2 linked regions of the Lepisosteus oculatus genome follow. The protein of the gene in region 1 purifies or fractionates together with the protein of each later gene. This does not show direct contact. Links are inferred from orthologs where the notes say so. Each region holds a gene or a part of one and is shown in the gene's direction. Other genes may lie near its edges.

Region 1 (12,409 bases):
GGCCTCACTTGGACTCACACGTGTGATGTAAATTAAGTAGCAGGCAACGAGGACTCCTGTGGAAAACGTGCATAACATAGAATTCATGAAACTGGGATACCACTCCCCCAATGTACATTAGTTGTGACCTATACACTACACTCATGTGCCCCATGGTCTACTGACCAGTTATGCTCAATCAAGGCAGTCTCCTGCACACTAGAACATAGGTGGCGTCTTTCTAGCTTGAATGTACATCTTCCATCTTGGAAGGAGCACTTGACCAAATACAAGGATTCAGCAGAGCCTGCTAGATCCAGCTACTTCTCCCTTATCATGGAGAATATCCACAACAATCTTAGAGACCTGTTCTCCACCATCAACAGACTGCTTAAGCCAAACTAACCCACTACATTACCTGCCTCATCCCAACTTTGCAACACTTTTTCAGGGTTCTTTAGTTCCAAGATTGACACCTGGCATCACATTCTCTCAACAGCTAACGCTACCTACTACACCTTTCTGGGAGCAAACGTGTGATAGAACACAGCAGAAAAATACAAGCTCTTTGGAGTTTAACCATAAGAACTTGTTCCATAATATTCAGCCCATGTAGCCTGTTTGGAAGCTAGTAGTTAAATTATCCAATGATCAATGATCTCATCCAGCCATTTCTTGAAAGAATCCAGGGTATCAGCCCCAACAAAATGGCAGTGTAGCTTGTTTCATACTCCCACAGACCTTTGGCTAAAGACGTTCCTCCTGTTCTTGTTTTTAAATTAGGTTCTACTTAGTTCCCATTTGTGCCCTATGGTTCCTGATTCACTGTTCATTCTGAAACTATCAATCCATGATCATTTAACGAAACACTCCCTTGAGATTTTCTGTCTGGACTGTTGATTATAAACCATCATTTCTTTTAACAACTGAAAACTTCACCTGTTCTTCCCAGTCCTGCATGGCAATGTACAGCAACCTTGCCCTCCTTCACAGCAAATGCCAGCACTTTCACACCATCCAGTATTCGAATCAGGGAGGATACGCCGAAATCTGGCATACCGAAGTTAAAGAAATAGACTTGGGAGAGAAACAAAAGAAGTGAAACTTTTTCACTAAACGTGCTGCATATCCTCTTGACAGCTTGTCATTTTTGGGCATATCTCTTATTGCCACAGAATTTGTTTAAAACTTGTTTAAAATGCATGTGCCTGCATGCAAAATTGTAACCTGGATTGCATGCAAAAGAACCCAAAACTGAAAACTGGCAATTTAATTACTTATTCTATAGCATAGTTACTGTACCAAAAAGACAGTCAAACTATTTCCTTAATAACAAATACCCCACTATTTTCTATTATAGACTTGTCAGAATAAATATGTTATAATAAATAAAGCTTCATATTCATTGTACTTGTATCTTAAGACATATCCTAATGTATGGAACATTCTGAACACATACAAAAATTCACAGTGAGCATGAAAGAAAAATAAGTATTTCTAAATTAGACATATATTTATTAACCCTGATGGTTTGTAAATTTTGATTAACTTGCTTGACAAAAACATTACAAAAATTGCAGAACATAAATTCAAGGTGTTTTTCTTTTAGATCAACTTGCCTATCCACTTCTTTCAAGCCATCCGAAACTGAATTGACTTACTTCCATTATCCATGAAGACTTGGGGTAAATAAGAGAAGCCACTCTCTCGTTCCAATGGTGATCCACAGTGAGCATGCTCCCCTGCCACCTGCATATTGATGATGGATTTTATGTTCAACCTAATGGGAATAGCAATACCAAAAGAGCAGATTTAATGCCAGAGACTGGAAAAACCATTCAGGGATTTCATAGCTGCTACAATAAAGGTTAAGCACAGTAAATCAACAATTTTAACCTAAATCAACAGCCACTTAAAGATGGCCTTCGTTTTCTTCATTATAAACAACGTATGCTCAGACTCTGGGTTCTCATTGCATCTGTAACAGTTCTCTGCTTTTCCACCCTTGCTGCTCCTGCCCTGCCAGATCATCCCTCACTGCCTAGGCGCGAACCCGGATCCAGCGTCACACAACAGGGAACTTGCCAGCTGAGCTAAAGGAGACCTCCCTCAACCTGGCTGGCTGAGATCCCTGTAATATGCAGGGGTGTATTTGTTACACATCCAAAATTAAATGTGACAGTCTGCTACCTGTGTTATCTGTTTTTTTAAAACTAGTTTGAAGAAAGCTTGATGAGCTAATGTAAAAAAAGAAACTTCGCACAATATTCAGCGACATGCTTAACAAGGCAAATTAAAATTCTTCAATATTATGATAACTTACTTGTGGAATTGATCTATAATGTAATACTTCTTAATTAGAGCCGTAGAAGGTCTTGCCATGGCTAGAATATCATCTGTCACCCTAAAGGCAAACAGAAACCACATTCCATGACTACTATACAACAGAGGTCTTTTTAGATCATTTTGTAATGCTTATTTCAGTGTTCCAAGGTTATACAAATAGTAACATGCAAAATCAATATTTATTTTTCCATCGTAAAAGGATGATAGCTGTACTGAAATAAGTAATGCCAGCTGTTTCTTAAAATAATAGAGAAAAGCACTGTACAGCTGAAATTACTCACTCAGGCATGTGCCTTGAACATCTTGCTGTTCCTCAGAGACTTTAATGAGGAAGCAAATCAATGAAATGTGATTCTCCCCTATTGATTTATATGCATAGTACTCAGCAGGGCACAAGTTTGGCGTCACTAACACAGTTGTCTACATTTACGATGAACTCAACAAAACTGCAAAGCACTGTTTACCATTATAACTACACAAACGTTTCTACAGTGAAAGGCCAGTTAATTATTACAAATCAGGTGGATACTGATCATAAAGAAGGAAAATAAGCATATTGAATTCTACCATGTGGAAAAGACACCCCGTATGGCCTGCTGTCTCAACGTCCAGGTTGCTGGTCCCTCATAACGACAATCTTTTCCTCTGCAGGTCAGAGCGCAGATAAGATTTGGGGGCATGGTTTTGACAAGGTTCTCTCGGGCCTGGGAATAGGAGGGCCGGGGCCCAGGAATACACAGGGCCATTCCTGGTGTGCAGGCGGATGTGAATGGACAGGCTTTGTCTGAACAGCAATTAAGGCGGAGTGCAGCCAACCGAAAAGTTCGTCTGGTAATGAACATATTAAAGAAATGTAGAATTAGGTATATGCCCAGGACAGCAAACAGCAACATTAAGCAGCAGAGTTGTGACAATAAAGTGTATAAATCCTGAAATACATAAAGACCATCTTAGAAAAAAGATTCTAAGCAAAAGTATTACATTAAATTATGTTAAAATATTAATTGATGTCTTTAAAGTCTTGTTTCTAGTGCAGACAAGATCATGAATCTTCACACTAAAGTGAATATTGACAATCTTTATGACTGTTAAAATGATATAAAAATTGCATCACTTACCATTATTGCGTCACATTTTGAAATAATTAAAGCAACATAAAAATCAAATCTGTTCAAATCCCCAATAGGCTCTAGTGTATTAGAGCTAGAAATGTACATAGGGCTGCTTCTCTCACTGCCTTTGTGGTTGCTTATTCTGACCTACATCCACTAATCCCTGTTATTAATTCCATAAACACATTAAGACACAGAGGACCGGGGCTTGTAATATTCTTTGTTATATAACTGGGCTCCAGACCAAACACACCTTTATTCTAAACTGAGCCATGACTGAAAAGTTCAGAAACACTCTAAATTAGACAAATTGTCCTTCGGGATCAACAAAGACTTATCTTATCTTATCTTAAATTGCCAGACAGTGTGCAACAAATATTTTATTTAGGAAATCAGTGCCGAATTATTGACACTCTTGATAAACAGGACCATATTAATTCCTTCCTGTGTTTTTCTTGGTTTTCAGGCTTGACATTCAATAGGATAAATAATTTCATCACCTGTCACCACTCAACTTTCTCTGCTGATGCAACAAAGTCATCAGCATTATAGTCATGAATGATCAATTAATCAAATTTCAGAAATCCATGTTTTATTTTTATTAAAAACATACATGCATAATTAGTGTGATGTTATGCTTGCTGCTTAATATATAATATTTCGCCTTTGTATATGAGGAATCTATGAGCACGTACATAATGATACAATTCCCACTTGCATTCATAACCTGGACTGTTTTAGTACATGACTGATTACATTGATGCACACAGTACAGTGAGGTATGAAGATAACAACAGTACCCATTGTTGAGCACGGAGAGGGTTGTAAATATGGTAGCTCCTGTCAACATCCATCCATTTCCTAATCCCTTCTTTCAGTTCAGGGTCGGAGGGGAGCCAGAGCCTATCCTGGCAATAAAAAGGGCGCGGGCAGGATAGATCTTGGACAGGACACCAGAGCATCACAGGGCCGACAAAAACAGACACAGACACGCACACACTCACTCCAGGACCAAGTTTCCCAGGAATGAATTAACCTACAGGTTCATCTTAGGACTCTTCAAGGAAACCCACACAAACACAGAGAGGTGTTCCCCATGTAGATAGCACCCCAGATATGATATATTTAATCTTTTATTCTTACAGGTAAGGGAAATGAGAACAAATACTTATTTGCAGCGATGTCTTGAGCACTCATTTATACAGCAGTACGTATACTAGAGTAATTTAATGGAAGTATCTTGCTCATGGACACAACAGCAGTGTCTGGACAGGAGATGTCCATGATGTCCATGTCCATGAAGAAAAACATTCTGAATACAAGATATCTGCAAAGTTCAAACACTGAGTGAAAAGGCTTGACCCATTTGGCCGATACACTGAATCACCTACAGTATGCATGCCAAACCGATCAGCATATACAGTACTATAGCTGTCAAGGAATGTTTGATTGGTAAGGCTGAATTCATCTCTGAACATCTACAGTATGTGAGCCTACAGAAAACTTCAGCATAAGGTTCACCAGCCATAGCCTTTAAATGTGTCCCATAGCCCTGAACCCAACATCACAGTGACCCACTTTACAGTATAGGCAACACAGCAACAGAACTGCTTGCCTCTAAACTCTGGAGTGGTGCAGTCTTCTTTCTACCTTACTGCAGTAAAGATGGAAAATGTCTTTAACCTCATATAAAAGACATGACTTTTAAGACATTGTGAGATGCAATAGGATATGATTCAGGTCATTTTGGATTGCGATATGTATTAAAGATAAAATTATTTTACAGTGTTGTATTATTAGTACTAATAAATGTGAGTCTCGAAATGTAATACATTTAATGGTGCATAGACTGTCAATGTGATGACAAAATGTTTTGTGTTCTGATGTGTAGCAGTGAAGATGATGAGATGAAGTGCATTTATATTAAGTGTACACTAAAATATGTATCTGTTATAATGTTATTTAATGTTATGTATAAAGTTGTTTGAAAGACATCATTTCAATACTAAAACATAAAATTCTTAATCTCTACTCATATTTGTACTCAATCCTGCTACTGTACTTTATGAAGTAATTGTACTTGTGCTTCAGTATCAGTTCCAAGTATGGTCCCAGGACGTCTCTGTAATCTACTGCAATCTATGCACTTTACTGCTTTGTGATTTTTTATTAAAGCAATAAAAATAAACAGTACAAATAATGAAAAAAAATGTGCGCTTTGTGTCCACTGGAGGTCAGCAGAGATTTAGTAGTACTGTAAAGCAGCACACATAAAGGTAAATACGTGCTGGTTAATATCACAGATTGTATTAAAAATTAGCTATATGGTTTAAGTGAGAGGCTTTAAATAAAATTCTTAAAATTCTAACTATTGGACTGGATTTCCCAAAAGGAGTTTTATTAAGTGTATGGTTCATTAATAATAATAATAATAATAATAATAATAATAATAATAATAATAATAATGGACACTCAGTGGGGATGAGTAAAGAGTGACGCAAACAATGAACGGATCGGAAAACATAAGCCCAGAGTGGACAGGAGGCGGGAGTGGACACCCAGGTGGTGTGAAATCAAGAGAGGTGAAGAGAGGCGTGAAGTCAAAACCTGCAACTGAATAGAGAGGAATAGAAGGAAACGAGTCTGTAACTGAGAGAAGGAGGAACGTATGATGCTAGATTCAGGATAATTTTGATTTTGGATGTCTTCCTGCAATAGGAGTTCCGAAACCCTTCTTTGAGAACGCAGATGGAGAGACCGTGACGATCACAGCCGTGAGAAGTAAAATGAGAAACTATGTTCTTGGAGATATCTTTGATCTTCACAGCCCTGACATGTTCCCTGAAGCGGTCTCCCAGTCTCCTTCCTGTTTCCCCAATGTAGATAGCTGGGCATTTTCTGCAAGAGATGCAGTAAATAAGGTTGCTGGAGGTACAAGATGTCTTCTGAGTGATCTGGAATTGTCCAGAAGGGCCTTGGGGCGAGAGAGAGTAAGGGAATAGCTGTGAGGAAAAATAAAATAATGAACACTAATTGGAATATTTCATTTCCGTTAGCACAGGGTGTTCTCTCAGATTTTAAAATTGAAAGGCATCAGTGCGCCAGGATAATCTCTCGTTCAGGATACCGCAATCCAGTTTAAGGCTTTCCTTGATATTATTAGCATTAGAGGTTGTGCCAGTAGTATTAACCCACCAACTCATGTTTCTAAATGCTTCGATATTAGTCTCAACTTTTTGGAGTTGAGACCAGTTACATTCAACCAGAACTCTTTCAGAACAAGATGTTTGATTTTTAAGAACTGAAAACAAGACGTTCATCTTTATTGACGTAATTTACTGCATGATCCTGTATCTTCGAATCAGTAAGACCAGCCTGATGGACAGTTATAAGATGCGCAAGTTGTAAAGCCAGTTCTGTTCACACTGTAGCCAAAGTCTGATTGAATACAGACTAAAACTGTGCATTTCTGGAAAAAGTGCATTATAAATTTGGAGAGGTCGGAACAGCGGCACTCTTGAACACGGGTATTTCTATTGCTCATTTTCGTGGAGTTATACGGTTAAGTTTAATGGCCGCATTGAGAGGACTGGCCGTAGAATTGACCAATAAAAAATAAGACCTGCGTCTCAATGCTCAATGTGGATTGACAGCAAAGTTGTCCAATGAACATTACAAATTCAGGAAGTACCGTTTTTCGAGTCAGACGACACGTGACAAGATCATATGATCATTATCACAGCGGAGTCGAGCTGTGAATGTTTTTCTTTTGATTGAACATGGTGAGTATTCCTTTAAAACAAGAAAAGTAATACGGATGAATACTCAAAATAATATAAATATTTTGCGTTTCTGTACTATTTTGTGCTGATAACAAACGAACATGATACCAAATATATAATAAGAAGTAATGAAATATCAGACTTTTATTAAAAATACTGTCCGAAGAAGATAAACATAGTCTTTATTGCAAATGCGATTATATATGACAATTAGTATCCACTCTGGTCTGGTTAAACGAAAGTACGTGCTTTAACTTTGGGGGCTGTTATCTCATGATCATAGGCCTGTTTAGCTGAAGACAGAATGAATTGGTTAAGGATCGTGCACCAGAATTATCAGACCCTTAATCTTTTGTAAAGTATTTTCTTAAGGATAGTATTTTTAAAAAAACGAAATATTCACTTCTGAGATATTTTTGTGTTTATAGATACATTGCGTTAGGGCTACACACTACTTTCCTCCCGAAGGCTTTGTAACCTACTTTGATTCCTACGCCTTTAAAGTAACTACCCTCTTTTTTTCCCCGGTAGTTAATGCCATTGAGTTTTCAGGAGTCCAAGAAGATGGGCGGGACGCCATCACATGCACATAGTTAAAGAACAACATATTTAACCTAGGAAATTATTAAAATCGTAGTTTTTTTGTGTAAGTGCATCTGGTCATAGCAAGTAAGCTTCTTGCCTGTAAAGTAACAGGTGTGATTCGTAAGCTTTACAACAGGATTCAAGTTTCCCAAACCATTATGTCTGCATAGATTTAACTTTAAAATTTAAGAAAATGAAGGAAGTTAAGAAAATTTTCGTAACAACAATGTTAAATATCTTCCCGAACGTGGGTCTTTTTTATTTTGAAAGAGTCACGTGGTAATGCCCTCTCCCTCTGCGGGACATAATGTGACTAAATGTCGTTCGTAGAGTAACGTTTAATCAAAAACGGTTTTATTTTGTAGGTAGTTTTCCCTAACTTGTGGTACACGGTAAAGACGTTTCTAGGAAACCATTTTTGTTTTCGACAGGGAATGAGATTTATGTTGAGCTCCAGATAGATTTAATTGAACTGTCCCCCACAGTGTCCGTGGTATTCTACTAAGAACGTAATGCTTTGTAAAAATGTGAAAAGAAGTTGTTACAAGACTATTTTTGTTATGGCAAGGACAGCCTCCTGTATTAACATTGAAGGGTCAAGTTCTCCTTTTCCCTGTTATCACAATACTGACAGGAAAGATGTCTCTGCTGTGTTTCAGACAACAGCTTTGACTCAAGGGCTGGAGAGAATCCCAGACCAGCTGGGCTACCTGGTCATCAGTGAAGATGGAGTCCTTGCTGTGAGTAAACACCATACTTTTACAATAAAGAAGGTGGCTGGGATTTAGACAGGAAGGACAGGAGGTGCAGGAAGGAGTGAGCTATGGAGACAAAGGAGGGTCTCCTTCATCATAATAATCATTCCAATAGTTTCTGGAGAAGCCCAGAATTGAATTGAGTTTATAACAACAATTCTGGAGGGATGACGACAACTGAGGTCAATCAGACTTACTCTCTTACTCTCTGACATCACTTACTCTCCTGAAACACTGTAAGGGGCGGAGTGGTGGCACTGTAGCTAAGGATCTGAGCTTGTGCCCAGAGGGTTGCTGGTTCAAATTCTGTAGCCGGCAGAGGAATCCTACTCTATTCGGCCCCTGAGCAAGGCCCTTAACCCCAACTGCTCCAGGGGCACTATACAATGGCTGACCCCAAGCTTCTCTCCCTGTCTGTGTGTCTCATGGAGAGCAAGCTGGATTATGCAAATATACAAGAATACACAATTTAATAATGCAAGAAATTGTATATGTATAATAAAGTGATCTTATCTTACCTTAAATACTGTATGTGATCTTGCTTATATCTTTTGCATCCCACCTCCACCTCGTCTCCACCTCTGCAGCTGCCCCTTGGTCACTCCTCGCTCTGTGTGGGGTCCCAGCCTCCTCTTCCTATGGATAAGAGGTCAGCCCTCAGCCAGACCGGTTAAACCAAATTCTGACTGAACACTCCATAATCCTTAATATCTTGGGTGTTGTTACTGCTAGTGCACTGGGACCTAAACATACATCGTTGTGTTGTCTGGTTGAGCTTGGCATTCCTTTTGCCCACTTCCTCCACTAGTGTGGGGCAAAGCTGCCACAGGTTGGTTTGTCTCCTTCAGTAACCTCCTACAAGCACCGTATGGCTAATTAAGACTTTCTCCCCCCTAGTCTGCCGGTGAGATGGAGAACGACGAGCATGCGGCGGGGGTGATCATGCAGATGGTGCAGACAGCCTGCAAGTTTAAGCTGCAGGGCAGCACAGAGCCCCCCTTCAAGCGCATGTCAGGTCAGTTTAGACGTGCTCTACCTCTTAACCGGTGCTGGTAAACACTGAGCATCCATTTCAGCTTGTGTCAGGTTTGGCGTTACACTCACTCGTCTTTTTCATTGAGCTGGGCGGCTTTGCCTCGAATGTTAGAATTTTTTTTCCCTCCCGCAAGTATTTGCCAATTAAAAGGCATTAAGAAACGATCCTGCCTATCATTTCTCCCAGAAAACAGTACAGCAGATTTGATAGTAATGCTAATGGATAGAACAGTACACAGGGTTACCAGAGGTTTAGGAATCCCACACAGTGAAGTTTGTTGATACAAACAGCAGGTGGGGATATGTGTTTAGGAATTGTAGATATGTCTTGTCTTGTTTTTACCTTTTCTCCTCTCCTGTCTTTATCTAGTGGTGTTTGAGGATCATGTCTTCATGGTGACCGTGTCTGGGCAGAAGGTCTTTGTGGTGAAACGGCAGAACAACCAGCGAGAGCCAGTTAACGTCTAGAGGTGTGAGGGTGGACCCGACGCTGCCCAGAGATGCCTTTTCTCCAAGCAGTAGTGGAATGAGGCACACCGGGAGCCAAACAGAACTGGGGGATTTTGTGGCACAGGCATATCCACTCTTGTGAAAGAGGATCGGAGACCTGGAAGGGGGGGGTTTCCACATGCTCCTGTGTCACAGTACAGCAGTCTGTTGAAGCTTTTGATATCACCTTTTGGTCTCGTAATGAATTCAGCAGTGTCAGCAATAAATTGATTTCTGGGCGTGGGCAATAATGTTAGCTTAATAATGCCTGCTGTGAAATGGTTAAAGGAAATATTAGTAAGTCTCATTTGCTCCATCACCTATTTGTGACCTGCACAGAATGTGCTGTGTGTATCTTAACTAATCCCATGCTGTTAAGTAACCGTGCTGCAACCCATTATATAAGCAGTAAAGCTTTATACTTTGTTCCAGTTTGTGCTTTTTTCCCTCAAGAAATATCCTGCATTTTTAATATTATCTGTTCATCCCATAACCATTGGAGACATCTCTTTTTCTCAACAGCTCCCATCCTTGTGGGTTTTTGTGTATCCCTATATTATAAAGGGTGGAAGATTAGCAGTGTATATTTTGACCAGTTGAGTAAATACGTAGGTCAAAACATTCAGGTTTAGTCCTGAATACTCGGATAATGAATCCCAAAGAAAAGTCACAAGTACTGGACCTTACAATTTAAAAAGCTGTACCGCTTTTGCACAGTCAGCTGTTTAACTGTCTGCTTAATTATTGAACTAGGTTTTAAAATTAAGGAGCTAGTTTTACCAAAATTCTGTGAGGATAGTTTGGAAGAGGTTCTGTCTGTTTACCCCAACCAAATGCTGAAGAGACATACAGGACCAATGATATAAATCATGTTCTCATTCTCTTTTTGTGATAAGTCCTCTGTGGGCAGAATCACTTTAGCAGAATTATTTATTATTGTAGTTTAACTTTGTAATTGAGTATATTATTTGTCTGTTAAGGTTTGATCTTCAGCATAACTAAAGAATAAAGACATTGCTCTTTCAGCTTTTGTCTTTGTGTAATATATTCACCAAAATAATAGTGTGTGCAGCCCTTTCACGGATTGTATGTTTTGTTTTGTGTGGAAAGCAAGTGTTGTTCAAATAAAATGAATTCAGATAATGGCACTAGAAGCATTTTGCACAAAGTTATTTACAAACTAAAGTCATCTCCAGTACCAGGGTTTCTTAAACATTGGATTAATAATGACAGCAGAGTGCCAGGGGAAATGGAAAAGCTAATAATAGTTTCGAAACAAGCACACAACAGGCAAGCATGCCAAGAATCAGGCCAAAATGTAATGTCTCAAACATAAATTCCAGTTGTTTGAGCGCCAGAGGGTCTTTTAGCTTTCATACATACTAATTTGATTAGTAATTCAATGAACTAAACCGATGTAATTATCTCACCTCTAAACCAGCCAGTGATTTCAAGAGACCAATATGTGCTGGGCGGTGGCTCTTGGGAACAGAGGTCAAGAACACAATAAAATGGGTCTCAAACCCAGATCTTCTGTTTATTGTTCCAATCTGTATAGTCCACTAAACAACCTAATTTAGAAAAGAATTAAGCATGTATAGGTAAAGATTTTTCTTAAGGTATTTTACAGTTGATTGCACAAGACATTCACTTCATTAAAGGCACAGGTACCTATAAATCATCATAGAGCCTGGTTAAAATTAATAACTTCAGAACTGTATTACATAATTAGACCAATTGAAGACATGGCTGGAACAAAGCAGTATAAAACTAGGAATTGAGTATAAAAACCCTGCTATAAAGCTAAAAGCATTGTTTAAATCCATCCATTTTCTATCAATATCTGTGCATCTGCCCATTATGCCTCCCTGCCTAACGAGCTCAACACATTTTATGCTTGGTTTGAAGCCAGCAACACAGAACCAGTCAACAGAGCTGCACCCTCCGCAGCTGACCAGGTGCTCTCGTTGTCTGCAGATGAGGTGAGGAGATCTCTGCTAAAAGTGAACACATTCAAGGCTGCGGGACCTGACGGCATATCCAGTCACATCCTCACAGCCTGCGCAAATCAACTGGCAGGTGTATTTATTCACAGGCATTTTCAACATGTCTCTGGCCCAAGCTGTCCCCACCTGCTTCAAGACAACCACCATCATCCGAATACCGAAGAAAACCACAGTGACATGCCTTAATGACTACCGCCCGGTGGCACTAACCCCTGTTATCATGAAGTGTGTCGAGAGGGTGGTCATGGGGCACATAAAGGACACCATTCTAGACACACTGGACCTGTACCAGTGTGCCTACCGGCCAACAGATCCACAGA
Region 2 (13,448 bases), on another chromosome or scaffold:
TTCTTTGGGAAAGGGACATGGCCCATGTACATTGATCACAGAATGAAAGTTAGCAAGCAACGTAGGCTGTACAAAACTGAGTTAAGGGGTTCTAAAGATGCAGACGTCAAACCTGCAAAGGGACAAATTTTGAACGTCTCACATGTACTTTGTTTTCCACTTCAGTGAAATCCATTCACGATCTCAAACTCAAATTAGTCTAAATCATTCCTTACACGTATATACGCTCTTTTCTGGACACTCCACTCAAAGCGCTTTACGGGTAATCCACCTGGATGATGCGATGGCAGCCATAATGCACCAGAACGGTCACCACACATCAGCTATTAGTGTGGAGACGAACAGGGTGACTAAACCAATTCAGAGACAGGAATTATTATTAGGAGACCATGACTGGTCAAGGCCAGAGGGAAACTTGGCCAGGATGCCAGGGTTACACCCCTACTCCCCGGGATTTTTAATGACCACAGAGAGTCAGGACCTCAGTTTTACATCTCATCCAGCGCCTTTTCACAGTATAGTGCCTAATGCCCCATCACTATACTGGGGCATTAGGACCCACACAAGCAGGGTGAGTGCCCCCTACTGGCCCCACTAACACCTCTTCTAGCAGTAACCTTAGTTTTCCCAGGAGGTTTCCCATCCAGGTATTGACCAGGCTCACACCTGCTGAGCTTCAGTGGGTTGTGAATTTCAGGCTTTTATTGCTGCAAATCTCCCAAGTTACTAATTTATACTTTTTGGTAGTTGTTTAACAGCAGGAACACCAGTCACTTTCCTGTACAATTTCCTTCATTGATTGTCTGCAGTTACCTACCATTTGTCAATGCATTGTAAGCACTCTGGGGCATGGGGTCCTGCAAAGAGACAGCAGATCATAAGCAACCTTTCATACTATTCATTACTATTATTTATTACAGTTTACAGCTGGACAAAACACTTAACACCTTAAATTGAATTAAGTCAACTTTCTGATACCTTTAGGTAGCTGTCCCTGGTTTTTAAGATGGAAAGTTCTTGCATTTAAATGACAACTGTCAAATTAAATTTTTAAATCAAACCTAAAGCTGCTTCAAATCACTCAATTTAATTTCAGTGATTGAATCTTTTTTAGCCCTTGATATAAGGAGGCCTTTATATCTAATGGGTCTTCTGCCGAAGCCAAGTTAAAGTTTTGAAAATGGAAAACTTATTATACACCCCAATGTATTGTGCACCCCAAAATAAATTCCAAAAAACCAAGGCTGATCCTCAGCCTAGATTATACATGGGGTTTGCCTTAATTATTCCAAGATTTCCACCTGAAAGGTTAAAGTTATGAAAGAACGGCATTTGAAGGTTCATACTCAAAACCCAAAACTGCAGCAAAAATATTAGTTTAAAGCACAATGGTACTAGAAAACTGTTTAAAAGAGAAAAAGTATGTTTTTGCACTCTTGAAAGCATTTAAAATTTTAACTACATGTAAATCAATATACAATGTAGTCTCTACCTTACAATCTGAACCACATTTTACAGCAGATTTGATAAGTAAAACTTTCCAACAATGGGTCATGCAACCAGTTATCTCCTTTAATCTCTAACACCCGACTCCTTCACTCTCCTAATCCCTCTCCCCGAAACATCCAGGAACTATCTTCAATTTATGTCTTTCCCCTGATTTTTGAAGAACATGAAGCCTTAAGCTCCTTGCACACGTAAATGCAGGAACTGCTGGTGCCGATTTGGTTTCTCAGCTACTTTGAAGCACTGTGCTGCTCGGCTTTTCCTGCTGTGTGTCCTCGGACCAGTGCAGGTTCCCTGCCTGCTTCAAATCCTCTATCATCACCGCAGTTCAGAAGAAGGACAGAATAACCTGTTTTAATGACTACAGATCAGTTTCACTTCCATCGGTCATAATGAAAACCTTTTGAGCTCTTGATACTCCGATACAATCAAAACAACCAGCTTCATATCTTGACCCACAACTTGTCTACAGAGACACTAAGTCAGTGCGTGATGCTGTTAATATTCGCTTCCACTATATCCTGCAACATCTGGAAACTTCAGGAGTACGCTACTCCTTTTTGTTGATCTGAGCTGTGCATTCAACACCCTCATCCCAGCACTCCTCCACAATAAACTGTCCCACCTGAATGTTGAATGTTTCCCTCCCCACCTGCCAGTGGATCACCTCCTTCACAAATAAAAAGGTAATGTGTGGATAGGCTCTTATTTATCAGACTGCTCATCTGTGAGCCTTGAGGTGCACTGCTGCTCTCCTCATTACTTGACTCCCTGTATACCAACGACTGTACCTCCATCAGACTCAAGTCTGCAGGTGACACTCCCCGGTGGCTCTTATCAGTAAAGGAGACTAAAACGTGAACAAAAGGGAAGTGAATGTCTGTGTCAACAACCTCCAGGTCAACAGACTCAAAAGAGTGGAGTTTGACTCCTCTCATCCAGGACACCATCCGTTTAAAAAAACGTACCTCAGGCAGACACTACCTGTGCACATATTATATATATATATAGGAACAAGTAATAGGTTTATTCCATGCTGAAAAAAAGAAGAAAGAGAACACAACGTTTCGGCCGTGGAGCCTTCTTCAGGTGTGAAGCCCTACACACCTGAAGAAGGCTCCACGGCCGAAACGTTGTGTTCTCTTTCTTCTTTTTTTCAGCATGGAATAAACCTATTACTTGTTCCTTTGCAGCCTACGCATGCTGACGCAGCTACCCACCTTATATATATATACACACACACACCTGTGGACCTCTGCGTATATTGTTTTTATTTTATGTTTTCGCACCAAGTCACCAGATCTGAATTTCTTGTCTATGCAACATACGATTCTGATTCTGTCATTAAGATCACTTACCACGTTGTCCTCCCAGTCTTCCATGTTTTCTCAGGGTAAGTGCTAGAAAAGAAATCAAAACACCTTTACATTGCAATAGATAACATCCACTTAAAGCAATCATTCACATTCAGGAAAATCAAACACTCGTGTATTACACATGTACGAGCTCTTTGGCTGGCTTTTAAGCTCCTCCTCTTCGTTCTATCACCATGTACAGCAACCTTGAGTTTTGGAAAGGTGCTTCATAAACCAAATAAATAAAATCCATAAATACTAGTATTATTAGACCTTCACATCATTCGTTAGGGGGGACTGAACCTTTTCAGCAGTAGCCCACCCACCCCCTCCCCATCTTTGGGGCACAATTCCCGACCAGATCAAAAACACACCCTCACACTGATATTTTTAAATCTCGCCTGAAGGCTGACTTGCTCTCGATGGCCTTCGACACCTAACAATTCTTTTACTTTCATAATTGATGCACTTTTTGGAATTTCTTTTTCCGACTTCTACACATTTTTGTTGTGTACAATGCATGCAAAGAGCCTCGAGATCGCCCCGATTGAAAGACAGGAATGAAACCGACTGCCGAGAATGAGGACAATCGCGCATTACATGTTTTTGGAAGATTGCAAGAGAACCGGCTCACACAGCTCTGCCAAAGCAAAACATCAGATTCATATCCCCTCTCGTTGTTTCGAGAAGCTACTTTTAAAGGCGCCATATAAGATCGTTTATTTTTACGGATAAAATAAGAACGCAAAAGGAACGAAGACGGCCATCACGGTGCAGAGTCGAGGTGAAACAGAGGAGTTCAGGAAATTGGTTTTGAATCAGGGATCCTCAAAAGTTTCATCCTCAGTCCAACGGGAAACAGTGCTCATGGTGCATCTGTTCACCTGCAATTCTCTCAGCACCCTCTCCTGATTGTATCTGGGCTACTACTTGAGGAGTAAGTACTGCAAAAGTGTCTTCGCACCGAGTCAAAATTAAGCTCCAGACGCGGCGCCTTTTGTCTTCTATCGTTTTAATTTACTTAACGAGCAATTAACACAAGCATGGCCATCACCGAAGGTGCGAACGTACAGCAGGCTTTCGATCAATTGGAGGGAAGGCGGGATGATTTTCCTTTCCGCTGCTCGCTTGGGGCAAATTAAATTATCATTCAACATCTCAGTGCATCTCTTCTTACTGGGATACGTTGGTCGGTTTTTTTTTTAAGTCGCTTCAAATATTCTCGTTATACGAGAACACACACCTGCTTCCAATCAGCAAAACCCTTAGAAAGGCGGGGAAAACCAAATCTAATACATCAAGCCTAACTACACAATTTAACTATAGCTCCTTTAATTCAGAATTAGTCTGAAATCGCTTCGCAAAATACTTCACACACCAAATAACATCTAACCTAAGGGTGTCGTAGAAACTCCCGGGAAAACGTTTCCTCCCAAACGAGGCGCCAAAAAAGCCAAGGCTGAGCAGGCCCGACTTGCGAGCAAACTCAACTGCAATACTAAAATCACCATTTAAGTTGTGTATTTAAGAAAAAACGACAAAGCGTTGGAACAGTTAATCATTTGCAAATAAAACCCATTCACCATTTTGCATAGCGCGTATATATATATATATCGGCCTCAAAGTGCTTGTAATAAAGACGAAAGGGCAATTCAATATTTTAAAATGACAAGAATTACACCTGACGCCAACATAGAAGGGAAACGGAAAAAGTACAAAGACATACAACTACACTAAAACATTCACCATGCGGAAAGGTACGATTTAAAGAAAACGGAACTACATACTCGGTTGCACATTACTTACGGATTACTGATTTTATTTACGTCGTTATTTTAACGAAAGAGATTGACTTCAAAGCAAATAGCTCCGCGCCAATGTCCCCCAGTCCCGCTTCCACTCGGTCTCGAAAGAAGCCGCGTTTCAGCTCCGAGCCCGGTTATCAGCTGGAACGAAACACGTGGGCAGGATCGCGCGCGTCCTTCTCCCCGCTCGGCACCGTGACGTCACGACACACGAGTCAATTTCTTGAAGTCAGCGCGTCTATCTGCACCTTGCTCCCGATTCTTCATCGGTTCTTTGTTCCTTTTTACAGCTGATGGGCGTTTTGATACATTTTTATGCTAAGAGGCCCTTAAAGGTTAACTGAGGTACGAAATGGGTTACAACCGTATACCACTTACTGAGGCTCAGAACCGCACTGATTCCGTCGTGTTAACTGAAACGTAATCAACTGGAATCTCCGGAGGTTCGTGAGGTTCAAAAAGCATTCAGGGTGGGAATGTGTGATACTTTGTCAGTCCCACCTGTGTCTGTTCACCTATTACACCTATTAAGAGCGGTTAAGAAGCAAACTCTGAAAACAAGTTGGGGAGACGCTGCTTAAAGGTAATCATGTAAAAGTTGACACATGAAATTAAGGGTATTTTAGAAACCAAGACTTGTGAAGCTAAGCAAGCATTTTGGAGGTTACCTTTTAACTTGTGTTTCATAACTAATTTAAGATTTTTCACTTTTAAATAGAATCTCACTATTAGGTCAATAATAGGTCACAATCTCACAGGTACGTGGGCATCCAAGACCAGAATTTGGAAAACATGATTTGGAGTATCCTCCAGAGACCTACACATTGGCAAGAAAAAGGGAAAACTCATTTCTGGCTTATTGGGAAAGGTTTAATAACTGGTTCTAGTTCTGGATGTTCTGGTGCTCTGTTAAGATCTGCATACACACGGGCTTCATGTTTGTCCTTCTTTGTATTAGAACATAAGGCTGTTATGCCCAACTCCTCTAGCTCTTTTTCTTTCAGTAGTTAATTGATCCAAAGCTCTCAGCCAGCTCTTTCCTAAAAGGAGTCAATATATCAGCTTCAACAATATCAGTGAACTGTCTGTGCAGCCATATTGCCATTCATGGCCTCCTATTAATCCCTGTCTATGAATTGGGTTCATCACTCTGATCTCCTCCTTAATGATAGCTGATGTGTGGTGAGTGTACTGGTGCACTATGGCTGCTGTTGTATCATCCTGGTGGGGCTGCACATTGGTGGTGACGGGGAGTCCCCATAACCTGTAAAGTGCTTTTGAGTGGAGTGTCCAAAAAAGTGCTATATAAGCGTAAGCAATTATTATTATTGATAAACAATTCAGTATGATCCAAAGCTCTCAGCTCACACTATTCTACGAGAGCTTATCAGTGCATTGTACATTTTAAACTGTACCCTAAATTTCTTCTGCTCACGTATAAGGCATTAAGTGCTTTAGCTCTTGATTATTTAAAGCACTTTCTGCTTGAATATAGTCTAGCACATAACTTTATACTTTACCTGCTAAATCTGACCTTTTTACTTGTTTATTTCACTTTGCTTTTAATTCTGTTGTGTATTATGTGTGCTACTGAGCGCTCAATGCTTCTTGCAAATGTCTCAAACAACAATTGCCTTGTTATCATTTACATAAGATCCTATCATGTCGACCATCTTATGAGCCCAAGGCAGCTTCAATATTCATGTACATTTTGCTTTTATTAAGCATTCAGATGTTGTACATGTTTGTCTTTATACTATACCGTTTGAATTATTTTCTTATTAGGTTCTGTATTGTTTGGGTAGTGCAAGCTGTGCCCTGTTTAGGATATGTTCTTGTTATTTGGTCGTGTTCTTTTAGGAAAGCTTTATGGCCTAAGAATCATGACAAACATAGGAACAGGTAAAGGTTTATTCCATGCTGAAATGAAAAGAAAAAGAGACAGCGTTTTGCCTTTTTCAGGTCCCAAACATACATAGGACATATATAAACATAAAAACGAACAATGACAAACATGACAATGACAATACCCCTCTTCATTTAAAAACAGTAAAAACTAAATCATTTATATTCTGAATTAAACATAGATGTGAATACATTATTGTGCACGAAATAATCACATTTCTCTTCAGTCAGGTGAGACTCACGAATTCTTTCTCATCTCTTGGACTGTCTACACAGCCAGGTATCAAACTCAGCTGACTGAACTGTAGGCATTCTGGGTAGTGTAGTTGAGTTGAGAGTATGCCCAATACCTGTCCCTTCTAAAACACTACAGACCCTATAAGGCATTGCGACAGCTAAGCATGTGCAATGCACGTTCGCATTGTTTCCTGTTTTTAAAACGCTGCTCGAACCGTGAGGTCCGGGGGTTGGTGTTTGGTGTCTGGTGTCTTTGGTTTTTAATGTAAGTTTAAACGGGTTTTTTAAAGTTGATTAATAGCTCTTATAAAAGAGCAGGGCTGTTTTATGGTTTCTAGTTTGCAATCATAAGGATTATATTGGTATTAACAGTTTAAATTAGTTGTTCACCCAGTAATTGATTTCTCGGTTAACTTTACGGTACTGGTCATAATAGTTATATTGTTTTTAAAACGAGTCAGTTGAGTACAATTTAGGAAAAGGTGTAGACGTATTTTACTTTATAGCACCTCGATAAACGTACGAGCTAGTTAAAGCTAACGTTTTCAGATAAAATGTGTGAAATGGATGTGGTTTACCTATATTGTGAAATGTGTATTCCATGAATTTCATTTTATGTGCTGCATACAGTTCAATTTAAGGATGTCCGATTTGTAATCCCGATATATATATATATCGCTCTGTATAGAAAGCATCAAACGTTGAAATGTGAGGGGTTATGCTTCTTTTTACTCTTGTATTAGGTAGTATTCTTGTATTTGTGGCTCGGTATATGATAACTTAGGATACGCGGCATTCTGAAATGGATATTTATACGTAATTTTCGAAGCAGAGCAATTGCAAAGCAAAGCCAAGAATAAGACTCTGAACATCTCTCCCGTTCTGGAATTTTTAAAAAGCCCCTGTGAATTCTGGCACCCTTGTCGTTTCTTGGAAAGGACGAGCAGCTGTTGCTGCCCTTACAAACTGAACAAATTGTTTTAACTACACGATATTAATGTTTTTATCAAGGTTGCGGTCAAAACAAATCCGGCAGCTCAGACGGGAATTACTTGTTTTTTTCCCCATCAATTATTCCACATCAGGGTAGTGTGAATAGTCAACGATGAGAGCTGCCGTAATTCCTTACAGTCTATTCTATTGCAGGAAAGTGCACAGATATTTATTTCGAGGTTTTATGAAGAGGTGCCTCCGTTACAGTTATTATCACGACGGTATACTTAGCCAGTACGTATAATTCTCTAGTTGTTTGTGTTCTGTGTAACTCCTAACCATGGCCCTGTGATCCCTCTCTAGAACCCTGTGCTATATGTATTGATTACAGCTAGTTGGCGTTTTAACTACTGAAAGACTGAAAGCTGCCTTGTAGCTTCCTTTATCAATTGTTGACTTTCCACAGTTCCCTGTGTAACAGAAAATGAAAATATCTGCATACTTGTCAAATTGAATGGATTAAAAATAGCAGTAAAACCCGCAGTTATGTAAGGCATGTCAGCTCCCACAAAAAAAACATCCTACAGAGAAAATGAAAAAAATGCCTCTCATAGGCTGAAGAGAATTTATTTCATACTAGAATAGAATTTCAAATAGAATAGGATTTGTTGTATCAGCACTAGGGATTTCGATTTGGGTACATTGGCATGTCAAACACAACCTGTTCTCTTAGGGTTAAATATATTCTAATATGCGACTTTTAAAATTACCCTGGTCTCTTTGGATTTAAATGTGTAAATATATGTATGTATCATGACATCTGTTATGTGAAAAAACAGGTCAACACCAAAAATGAGAATTTGAAATGCTTATCTGTGCCTTGTGGTACAGAAGTTGCATACATTTAATCACTTTTCTTAGGAAGAAATGGAATCTCCTTTCTAATAAGCTAGGTTGTTCTACAGAAGGTTTGTAGTAGTGGATTCATTTATAAATATTTAATGAATAACTAAAACAGCTGAGTCAATACTGAATACTATAAGTGGCCATTGGTGACATGTAATGATATTTCAGAATTTTTATTTTTAAATATCATTTTTATGTAATGATATTTTAGAAGAGATAATCATGTAAAATCCTGCCTTATTTCAATGAAGAGATGCTGAGTTCCTCATTTTTGAAAATTGAACTTGGAGCAGAGGCATCTAATTCACCTTCCCATTATGCCGCTTCCTGTATTTCTTGGCTTGTTCATGTACAAACACACTGATTGAAACCTCCCTGAAGACCTGCTGTTTGCAGGAGATTTGTACACAACAGGTGGATCATGTTTTAGTCCTAATTCGAATAAAGAGTTTTTTATTTACCAATCTAAAATCATCTGTGCGCTTTAATGGCTATTATCACCAAATCTAAATATGAAAAGTGTGTATTTACAAAATAAAATATTTTGTTTTAACCATAGGTTTTGCAAACTTCCATTTTCCAGTGAGAGACTCCCTTCTAGTTACTTAAACCGGTTAGTTTTAAAATAATGTATAGACCCATGAAAATTAGTCGTAAAAAACAAATCGGAAGGCCATTACAAGAACTTTTGCATTTGAACGGGCAATGTTGCCGCATAGTTCAAGTACAGATGGTATCATCAGAAATTTCAATTAGGGCATCGGACAAGTTTTCTAGTTCATAGCGGACAGGCTTCAGTTGAAGTTATTTATTATAACAATAGCTAAACAACAAATTGCCTTACATCCAATATAAAAGTTTCCAAAACAAGCATAAGCTCTACAGACCCAGAAACCCAGAATCCCTGTAACCTGAAATCAGACAGTGTATAATGCCCAATCAGGCCAAAAATCAGGCCTGGTGTTCTATATTCACAGAAACCAACTCAGTTCAACTCAGTTTTTCCTATAATCCTGGAAGTCCAAAAGTCAAAGAGACTCAATCTACCTGTTCTAAAAACCCTTCACAAGACCCAAGACCAAATTCCACTCACCTAGTGCTTCTGTTTCCTTCTGTTAATTCCCTGTCTCTCTCTTCATCACTGTTCCCTGACCTTTCTTTCCTGCCTTCTTATGATGTCTGTCTGTGTGTTAAATGTGTATTCTTCAATTTTAATTAACCAGAGTAGATTTATTTTGATCCTCTGTCTTTTACAGCCCACCCACAGCTAGGTAAACAACTCCGTTTCTTCCTATTGTTTTTTAATTTTACAACCTCTTAAGCCATAACAATATTAACAAATATGTACTGACAGTTAAATGACACAAGCATATTTTGCCCCTTATTTCTTACATGTAGGACAAGTAGAAAAGTTTATTATACACCCTAATGTAGCTAAGGTTTAATGCTTAAACATACTCACATTTAGAAACCTGAAAGACAATGTCCCTACTCTTTTGCAACAACATGGGTAGCAGTGCATATTGTTTGCAATTTTTGACATTTTTAAATAGATTTTTTTTTAATTAATTGTCTCCTCAAATGGGGCGCACCATTTAACATGGGGGTGTAGGTGACCATCTAGTTCAACTATATATAAGAGCTGGCCCTGATCAATAACTTACAGGTGTTCATGATTTGTAAAGTCTAGACTGGGGATCTCCAGGACCGAGACTGCTGACCTCTGCTCTACAATCTTATTTGGGGCTTGGCTTCCTCAAATGTAAGATTCAGCTGTTGTGAGACTGAAGATAATGCACGATCAGCTTATTTTTTGTAGCCTGTGTTCTTTCAGTCCTGTCATTGTCTACATCATTTCTACTTCTCCTTTTGTGGGCATCATACTGCACATTTTAGATTACACAGGAAATGTGCTGCTGGTTTGTGTCTCTAAACATTGCAAATTAGACCATATCGTAAGACCCACCTGATCTCATTCTTCGATTTTGCTGGTCTTGAAAGTCTAAGGTTATGCTCTGATCCTGAGGTGCAATGAAAGTCGACATATAAGAAAAATATATTAGGCTAAATAAATATACCCTTTGTAAGGGTGTGTAATTTCAGAGTTATGGAGATCTTTGCGAGAAATTTAATTTGCAAGTTTTCGTGGAAAGACCAGCCTTTTCTGGTTTCAAGCATTTTAATCTACTTATGCAGTTTCTAATGCAACACTTTATGGAGTTAATTTTATCCTCTCCGTCCCCAAAGGAGAGGTCGGTGGTACCTTCTTGTCCAGCAGACAAATTCAAGTACGGAACCTTTCTGGTATGTATATAATCAATTTTGCACCCTATTGCACGAACTTACACAAAATATTATTTTCCTAGTTTTGGATGCCTGAAAACCAGGCTTTTAATTCATTCAATGCTCTGTTAAATGTGTACGACATTGCATTCTGAGCTCTTACAATTACAGTTGCCACTATTTTTAATTCTCTGTTTTTAATGTTTTTTTTGCACTTAACAGTTTCTGTATTCATTTCTATAAGCAGCTTTTGAATGTCTTGGTTACTAAAAAAATTAGTTGACCTTTTAGTTTTGCTAGCTAGTGAATGGTGCCAATAATAGTTTATTTCAGCTGACTTGTTTAAATTGTGTTTTATGAGATCTGAGTCAAAGATTCCTGGATTGTTCTTGTAAATGGCTTACTAATTCCTTCTCTCCATAAACTGTTACTGTAGGAAGTTTGTATGATGGGAATACCAAGTCTCCCCTTAATCTTCATTTCATATGTTATCATAGATGCTTGGATTACGAATTAAACAAAATGTATAGATAATATTTGATTGACACTTACAGATAATATTTATCAAGTCTGGAGTCAAAACCTTGAGTTAATATGCAAAGTACTCAACTAAGTGCAAAGACTCTTATTGCTCCTATATAGCTGTATATGGTAGCCTTTTCCTGTTCATCTGTTGATTATGGTCTGATCAACAGTGTGACTCTTTGTAGTTTTGTTTTGTCTAGGTAATGACGCGTAGCAACAGTGCTGCTCTTTAAGCGTCGACAGTAATGGAAGATGATGTGAAGCCACTGCTTGCCCCAGAGAGGGCTGGAGAGAACCACGTGGAGGCAGATCACAACAACTTGGATGCACATGACACAAGGTCTAAAAGGTACTGTAAATGTGGAATATGAAGATATACCGAATATATATATATAATTGCCGGATACTTTTTAGCTGCTTACCCATACAGATTAGAATCGCCACTTTGGAGGAAAGGAGATTCCCTGACTTACATCATTATCATTTATCGCCGGCAGCCATATCACTCTGCAACTCACAACTGGCGACTGAAGCTAAGCAAATCAAATCAAAGTTTATTTATCAAATGCACAACAATACGGCGTGCAGCAGTAGTTGCTGTCAATGAAATGTCTTTTTCTGCGAGCTCACAAAAATTACAAGAATCACAAAGATTCACAAAAATCACAAAATTGAGGTTACATTTTTGAAATTGAATAAAACTCAATGTGTGTAGAGCTGTTATGTGTCCATGGTGTATGCAATATATACATGTAGTGCAGTTATGCTGAATATAGTGAGAATTGTGTGTCCATGTAGCCATTACAGGTGACTTGCTAAGGAGCTACAGGTTGGCCATTTAGCAGTCTTATTGCCTGGAGGTAGAAGCTGTTCCGTAGTCTGTTGAACTTGGACCGAATGCTTTTGTACCAGACTGTAGGAGGGAAAACAGTTTGTGACGGATGACTGGGGTCCTTGAGAATGGACCTGGTCTTCTTCAGACATCTAGCTGAGTAGATATCCTGGATGCTTGGTAGCTCACAGCTGGTGATAAGCTGCGCTGACTTCACCACCCTCCGTAATACTTTGCGATCCCGTGCAGAGCAGCTCCCATACCGTGCAGTGATGCAACCAGTCAGGATGCTCTCAATAGTGCACCTGTAGAAGTTGGCCTGGGTATGTGATGGCATGCCGAACTTCTTTAGCCTGCGGAGAAAGAACAGGCGCTGCCGTGCTGTCTTGACCACGATGTTGGTGTGGTGGGTCCAGGTTAAATCCTCTGAGATGTTAACTCCCAGGAACTTAAAGCTGCTGACCCTCTCCACTGCAGTCCCATTGATGTGAATAGGTGTGTGGTCTCCACCCTGATGTTTCTTGTAGTCCACAATCATCTCCTTAGTCTTACTGATGTTCAGAGAGAGGTTGTTCTCCTGGCACCATAATGCCAGGGTTTCAATTGAGTGTGAGCTTGGTCAGTACCTGGATGAGAGACGTCCTGGGAAAAACTAAGGTTGCTGCTGGAAGAGGTGTTGGCAGGGCCAACAGGGGGTGCTCACCCTGTGGTCTGTGTGGGTCCTAATGCCCCAGTATAGTGATGGGGGCACTATACTGTAAAAAGCTGCAGTCCTTCGGTTGACATAAAACCGAGGTCCTGACTCTCTGTGGTCATTAAAAAATCCCAGGTCATTTCTCAAAAAGTGTAGGAGTGTTACCCTGGCATCCTGGCCAAATTTCCCATTAGCCTTTACCAATCATGGCCTATTAATAATCCTCATACATATAATCCTCATGATGACTGGCTTCATCACTCTATTCTCCTCCCACTGATAGCTGCTGTGTGGTAAGCTTTCTGGCGTACTATCGCTGCCATTGCATCATCCAGGTGGGGCTGCACATTGATGGTGGAGGGGAGTCCCCATTACCTGTAAAGCGCTTTGAGTGGAGTATCCAGAAAAGCACTATAAAGTGTAAGGAATAATAAATAATATTATAGATGAATAATTATAACCATATT

Evidence for each region.
Region 2: the proteins of lamtor4 (region 1) and slc38a9 purify together in Homo sapiens (affinity purification with mass spectrometry; 4 studies listed by BioGRID and IntAct, with this or other methods). This does not show direct contact. The link is inferred for Lepisosteus oculatus from reciprocal best matches to the Homo sapiens genes LAMTOR4 and SLC38A9.

The regions. Positions count from the first base shown.
Region 1 is NC_090702.1:13,157,598-13,170,006, reverse strand, and holds lamtor4 (ragulator complex protein LAMTOR4), read left to right. Parts: upstream 1-7,111; 5' UTR 7,112-7,216; coding exon 7,217-7,219; intron 7,220-8,463; coding exon 8,464-8,544; intron 8,545-9,456; coding exon 9,457-9,574; intron 9,575-9,964; coding exon 9,965-10,062; 3' UTR 10,063-11,231; downstream 11,232-12,409. Other genes in the region: protein tyrosine phosphatase domain-containing protein 1, read right to left, coding at 1-56, 919-1,056, 1,641-1,759, 2,303-2,383, 2,893-3,071. UniProt on the Homo sapiens protein: As part of the Ragulator complex it is involved in amino acid sensing and activation of mTORC1, a signaling complex promoting cell growth in response to growth factors, energy levels, and amino acids.
Region 2 is NC_090698.1:26,533,694-26,547,141, forward strand, and holds the start of slc38a9 (neutral amino acid transporter 9), read left to right. Parts: upstream 1-6,986; 5' UTR 6,987-7,073; intron 7,074-10,894; 5' UTR 10,895-10,951; intron 10,952-11,640; 5' UTR 11,641-11,700; coding exon 11,701-11,804; intron 11,805-13,448. Other genes in the region: probable ATP-dependent RNA helicase DDX4, read right to left, coding at 818-857, 2,865-2,888.